2 linked regions of the Xenopus tropicalis genome follow. The protein of the gene in region 2 purifies or fractionates together with the protein of the main gene of each other region. This does not show direct contact. Links are inferred from orthologs where the notes say so. Each region holds a gene or a part of one and is shown on either strand. Other genes may lie near its edges.

Region 1 (3,115 bases), on a different chromosome or scaffold from region 2:
GATTTTTTTTGTGTTTATAAATTATTCCCCCAATAATTATGGGAAAAAGAGAGTACATTTTTATTCTATATCAAAATGCGCAGGGGGCAGTTCAATACCCCTCATGTTCACAGGAAGGTGTACTTCTGACCCCCTTTGGTTGGAATATTTTGAAATCGGAGTAATTGTGGCAATTCTACATTCTGTCTCACAGGATGCAATCTGAAGATTTTTAATAACCAAGAGTTTGCTGCTCTCCTCGCTCAGTCTGTGAATCAAGGCTTCGAAGCAGTTTATCAGTTAACTCGAATGTGCACCATAAGAATGAGCTTTGTAAAAGGCTGGGGTGCTGAATACAGGTAACTCTTCATTTATCAAGTGTATTTTTGGATGCATATTGATACACTATATGAGAAAATGCAGAGCAGAGACCTACTTACAGCTGCTGACCCAATCCTATCTGATCCCCCAATTGTAAGCAGCAGTCCTGCCCTGCTTTATGGCTGAGATTCTAGCTATCTGTATAACAGAGCATTCTGTCACAGTGGCACAGATCCTATCTGATCCCCCCATTGTAAGCAGCAGTCCTGCCCTGCTTTATGGCGGAGATTCTAGCTATCTGTATAACAGAGCATTCTGTCACAGTGGCACAGATCCTATCTGATCCCCCCATTGTAAGCAGCAGTCCTGCCCTGCTTTATGGCTGAGATTCTAGCTATCTGTATAACAGAGCATTCTGTCACAGTGGCACAGATCCTATCTGATCCCCCCCATTGTAAGCAGCAGTCCTGCCCTGCTTTATGGCTGAGATTCTAGCTATCTGTATAACAGAGCATTCTGTCACAGTGGCACATAATCAAGCATTACCATGCCTCATTGCTAATGTTTTCTGCCTTGTGTGCTCGTGCTTAACCCTCCTCTCTGTCTGTCTGTAGGCGGCAGACCGTTACAAGCACTCCATGTTGGATCGAGCTTCACCTGAACGGACCTTTGCAGTGGTTGGACAAAGTGTTGACACAGATGGGATCCCCTTCAGTGCGCTGCTCAAGCATGTCCTAATGGGCGCTTCTTTTATGTATTACCTGCGGGTGGCAACCGAAGTCCCAGCAACAGACTCAATACAGCTTGTCTGTCATAGTATTTGTGTGTGGTCCCCATGAACTGTTTACAATCCAAAAGAAAAAAAAACAAAAAAACAAAAACAAAAAGCGAAAACAGCACTTGAGGTCCCATCAACGTAAAGCACCTTGTCGGATTATGTTTCTGATACTCTTAAAGTAGCTGAAATATTAGTGTATAAATGACTCCTTACCAGGGACGGGACTCTTTTAAAAAAAAAAGGACATTTAACAGTGTATTATTGGGCAAAGAGTTGAGTGTCGGGATAAACAATAAACACAAGTAGTCCCTATGTACATGTCCTGTATATTGTTCTCCAGTTACTGTGCAGTTATGCCTTTTAGTTGCAGCAGATAGCGTGCCTGCTTCCCCTCATTTTACTCCTGTCACAATCAAAACACATTGCGTTTTGCCATTATTATTATTATTATTATTGCCCTCTTATATTTGTATTTTTTTTTTTCCTTTTTTGACTACTTGCTATTTTTATAAGTTGTTCTAATGAATCTGCTGTCGCTCCTCTCCCCTTGCGTATTTTCCAAAGCAGCCGCGAACATATCACCCCCGAATTGGCGTTCTCTGGTAAACCAACCGGTGATCGAGTAGCCGAACGTATTTTTATTCACCCCCCCCCCCCCCGGACCCAGCAGTCGTTCATGGTATTGGGTCGATCACGGTTTGTACCAGTTGGCAAGCCAAGCACCGGAGCCTTTGGGCTTGGAAGTGTAACCAGCAGAGGAGGGGTTATTTTTTTATTTTTAATTGTTTTTTTTTTAAGTGCATGTTATTGTAAACCCTTGGACACTACATTTGGACCCTATACAATATTTAGAATTCTATTCTATGGATGTCTGAGGATAGGGAAAGGGTTGGGCAGAGGCGGTTTAGAAAGGGTACTCTGGCTTTAATATGTACATCTTACTAACCATTTTGTTCTCTTGCTGTCTGTCAGATCTTTCTCGTTGGGGCAGTATTTGCCTTCTCTCTCCCCCTCTTACCCCCACAGCTATCCCCCTTTTTACACTAGTAGTGTACTTTGTGAGTACAGCTAGTGACTGCTCCTTGGCTTTCTGAACAAACCTCAATAAACCAATAAAACAAAAAACCAAAAGCGGCCAGTGTTAGGATGTCTCGTCATTCAGCGAAATCTCGGAGAGCGGGCATCTCTTTAATTGTATGCTGTATCGTTTAGAACATAGAGGCAGTTCCACAACTGTGTGTCGGAAAGGTAAGCAGTAGGCCAAACCATTGCAAAACAAAAAAAACGTAATTGGCAAAAGCATTTACCGTTTGTGAACTAGTTTTACCAGTAGGCTTGTGTATTGGTAGAACTTGTGAACTAAAGACATAAGCTTTGTGCGTGTTGCATTTGCCGAATATGTGAATACACTAATAAAAGATTTAATTCTCACTGTGGCGTCGCTTCTTTTGGCCTCTGTAGGACCCCCCCCATTTTGACTTATATTTTAGTATGATGTAGTGCAGTGATCCCCAACCAGTGGCTCAGGGGCAACATGTTGCTCCCCAACCCCTTGGGTGTTGCTCTCAGTGCCCCCAAACCAGGGAGTTATTTTTGAATTCCTGACTTGGGGGCAAGTTTTGGTTGAATAAAAACAAGATTTCCTACCAAATAAAGCCCCCTGTAAGCTGATAGGGTGCATAGAGGCCCCTAATAGCCAATCACAGCCCTTATTTGGCTCCTCCATGAACTTTTATGGTGCTTGTGTTGCTCCCCAAGTCTTTTTACATTTGATTGTGGCTCACGAGTAAGAAAGGTTGGGGACTCCTGATGTAGGGAGTAATATACTACGACAATTTGCAGTTGGTCTTCATGATTATTTGTGTTTTTTTTAATTACTTGTTCAGCAGCTCTCCAGTTTGGAATATCAGCAGTTGTCTGGTTGCTAGGGTTTAATTTTGCCTTAGTAACCTGCAAGTGGTTTGAATGAGAGACCGGAATATGAAAAGTAGAGGGCATAAATAGAAAAATAAGTAACAATAAAAAGTAACAGTAACA
Region 2 (3,656 bases):
TTGGTATCTGCCACACTGATCCATGCCACTTCTGTTCTGGCAACAAAGTGCATGCACAGTGGAAGTTACACTGTGGTCCTGCCACATTATCATGTAAATCAAGGCAGGAAATGAAAGAGACATGGCCCAATATAGTGGCCACCAAAAACACTGCACAGCTCTGTATTTCGCACTATGACATAGGAGCACAGAAGTTATGCGTTGTCTTAACAGTGCTCAGAGACTTAGCATACAATAAGGCTGTGCAATGATTACCTAACAAGCACCTCCTTAAAGGAACAGTAACACCAAAAAATAAAAATGTATCAAAGTAATTAAACTATAATATACTGTTGCCCTGCACTAGTAAAAGTTGTTTGCTTCAAAAAGACTACTATAGTTTCTACATAGACTCTGCTGTATAACCATAGGGGTAGCCACTCAAAAGGAGAAGACACAGGTTGCATAGCAGATAACAGAAACATTCTGCAAAATACAATGGTGTTAAATCAGTTATCTGCTATGTAACCTGTGTCTTTTCTCCTTTTTTCCAGCTTAAATGGCTGCCCCCATGGCTACACAGCAGCTTATTTATATAAACTACAGTAGTGTTCCTTAAGCACACCAGTTTTACCAGTGCAGGGTGACAGTACATTTTAATTACTTTAAAATACTTTTAATTTTTGGTGTTCCTTTAAGCTTAATGCAGTCCTTCCACCTAACATTTAAATCAAGGTGTAACTATTTAGCTTGTCCTGCAGGCAGCTCATACACAGCATGTAATGATTTCTAGAAATTATACCTTCTTCGACATGTAACTATAAGAATGGGTCATAAAGTCTCCTAAAGCATGGAACCTCTACTACTTACAAGGAGCATGCATGTAATGTCTGCAGGAAGAGAGTGGAGTTGGAGGAGGAGGCTGTGCTTGCGCTACCATACTTGATCCATAACCATCAATTGCCATGGTCTGAGCAGTGCTGGTAGTGGACTGATGTCCATAAACTGTTGATCGCGATGAAGAGCCAGGACAGCAAGGATCAAAAGCAGATGTACTATGAAAACTAACACTTCCGTGGCTTCTTATGCCATTGTTACTCAAATCTACAGGCAAGGCTTGCTGTAACAAAAAAACACAAAAGTACCAAATATCAGACAACTTTTTAGCATCCTTTACACCCAAGAACGGTCCCTGAAAATGTTTAAGTGGTGCTTAAAGTTTGCAGTGCTGTAACAATGCCCCAATTAATAGCAAATCATATGTTGCACAAGGAGTAGCTAAAATATGTTTTTTTTCCATTAGGCTTGCTATTAGTTAGTTTATTAGGGTCTTTAGTTACCCTTTAATAAACTTGACTTCTTTTAATTATGATACAAGGCTGCTGTGAAGTCATAACTTACAATTCAAACAGCAGCTGGGCCCCATTCTCAAAGCAAAGCCCTGCCTGTAGGAGCAGGAGACATGGTGTCTATGCACACTGGTAAGTCAATTTATGGTGCATAGGTTAAATGCTTGCTTTCGGTCACCAACAACAATCTATACATATTTTAGTCAACCTTACTGGATCATGATAGGTGGATCCTGAGCTGCTAGTTGCTCCACAAGGTGGTGGCACTGCAGCATTTCTTTCCACAGGACAGTGCGAGTCCCTGAAGGAAGGAGACAAAGGAACTCCTGGGTGGGAACTCTGATGGTGATGATGATGGTGGTGTGGAAAGTGGTGACTGTGTGGTGGGAAACAGCTTGAATGGGGATGTCCCAGGACATGATTCTGTGAGGATCCTCCACACGGCGAGTGCTGGGGACAGCAAGATGGTAAACGTGGCATTGCTGGAGGGCCACCATCTACATTGGTGCCAGAAGTACTAGTTCTGGAATCATCTATGAGAAATTAAGAAAATTTTAATTAAAAAAAAAAAAAAAAAAAAAAAAAAGAAGAGCTGAAGCATTTAAAGATGACACTAATAATGTCAGCCACTCATCCTTGCAGGCATGACTTAAAAATGAGCTCTGGACATCTGGGATATGGTCTCCTATGGAAGTATACAGCAACCTTACTTCCTAATTATTCTTTAATAACTAGGTATTTTAAATAACCCAGGAGAAAAAGAAATAACCCCCATAGATGTATACTATGTACAGTCGTGGGCAAAAGTTTTGAGAATGACACAAGTATTAGCTTTCACAAAGTTTGCTGCTAAACTGCTTTTAGATCTTTGTTTCAGTTGTTTCTGTGATGTACTGAAATATAATTACAAGCACTTCATACGTTTCAAAGGCTTTTATCGACAATTACTGTACATGACATTTATGCAAAGAATCAGTATTTGCAGTGTTGGCCCTTCTTTTTCAGGACCTCTGCAATTCGACTGGGCATGCTCTCAATCAACTTCTGGGCCAAATCCTGACTGATAGCAACCCATTCTTTCATAATCACTTCTTGGAGTTTGTCAGAATTAGTGGGTTTTTGTTTGTCCACCCGCCTCTTGAGGATTGACCACAAGTTCTCAATGAGATTAAGATCTAGGGAGTTTCCAGGCCATGGACCCAAAATTTCAACATTTTGGTCCCCGAGCCACTTAGTTATCATTTTGCCCTTATGGCACGGTGCTCCACCATGCTGGAAAATGCATTGTTCTTCACCAAACTGTTGTTGGATTGTTGGAAGAAGTTGCTGTTGGAGGGTGTTTTGGTACCATTCTTTATTCATGGCTGTGTTTTTGGGCAAAATTGTGAGTGAGCCCATTCCCTTGGATGAGAAGCAACCCCACACATGAATGGTCTCAGGATGCTTTACTGTTGGCATGACACAGGACTGATGGTAGCGCTCACCTTTTCTTCTCCGGAAAAGCCTTTTTCCAGATGCCCCAAACAATCGGAAAGCGGCTTCATCTGAGAATATGACTTTGCCCCAGTCCTCAGCAGTCCATTCACCATATTTTCTGCAGAAGATCAATCTGTCCCTGATGTTTTTTTTGGAGAGAAGTGGCTTCTTTGCTGCCCTTCTTGACACCAGGCCATCTTCCAAAAGTCTTTGCCTCACTGTGCGTGGTGCAGATGCGCTCACACCTGCCTGCTGCCATTCCTGAGCAATCTCAGCACTGGTGGCACTCCGATCCCGCAGCTGAATCCTCTTTAGGAGACGATCCTGGCACTTGCTGGACTTTCTTGGATGCCCTATAGCCTTCTTAACAAGAATTGAACCTCTTTCTTTGAAGTTCTTGATGATCCTATAAATTGTTGATTTAGGTGCAATCATAGTAGCCACAATATCCTTGCCTGTGAAGCCATTTTTATGCAACACAATGATGGCTGCACGCGTTTCTTTGCAGGTCACCATGGTTAACAATGGAAGAACAATGATTTCAAGCATCACCCTCCTTTTAACATGTCAAGTCTGCCATTCTAACCCAATCAGCCTGACATAATGATCTCTAGCCTTGTGCTCGTCAACATTCTCACTTGAGTTAACAAGACAATTACTCAAATAAGCTCAGCAGGTCCTTTAATGACAGCAATGAAATGCAGTGGAAAGGTTTTTTTGGGATTAAGTTAATTTTCATGGCAAAGAAGGACTATGCAATTCATCTGATCACTCTTCATAACATTCTGGAGTATATGCAAATTGCTATTATAAAAACTTAAGCAGCAACTTTTCCAATTTCCAATATTTATG

What was found.
Region 1: the proteins of rnf111 (region 2) and smad2 purify together in Homo sapiens (affinity purification with western blotting, with the first as the bait; 3 studies listed by BioGRID). This does not show direct contact. The link is inferred for Xenopus tropicalis from reciprocal best matches to the Homo sapiens genes RNF111 and SMAD2.

What each region holds. Positions count from the first base shown.
Region 1 is NC_030677.2:206,124,039-206,127,153, forward strand, and holds the end of smad2 (mothers against decapentaplegic homolog 2), read left to right. Parts: intron 1-193; coding exon 194-338; intron 339-914; coding exon 915-1,038; 3' UTR 1,039-2,509; downstream 2,510-3,115. UniProt on the Homo sapiens protein: Receptor-regulated SMAD (R-SMAD) that is an intracellular signal transducer and transcriptional modulator activated by TGF-beta (transforming growth factor) and activin type 1 receptor kinases.
Region 2 is NC_030679.2:99,185,579-99,189,234, reverse strand, and holds part of rnf111 (E3 ubiquitin-protein ligase arkadia), read right to left. Parts: intron 1,862-3,656; coding exon 1,542-1,861; intron 1,100-1,541; coding exon 850-1,099; intron 1-849. UniProt on the Homo sapiens protein: E3 ubiquitin-protein ligase. Required for mesoderm patterning during embryonic development. Acts as an enhancer of the transcriptional responses of the SMAD2/SMAD3 effectors, which are activated downstream of BMP.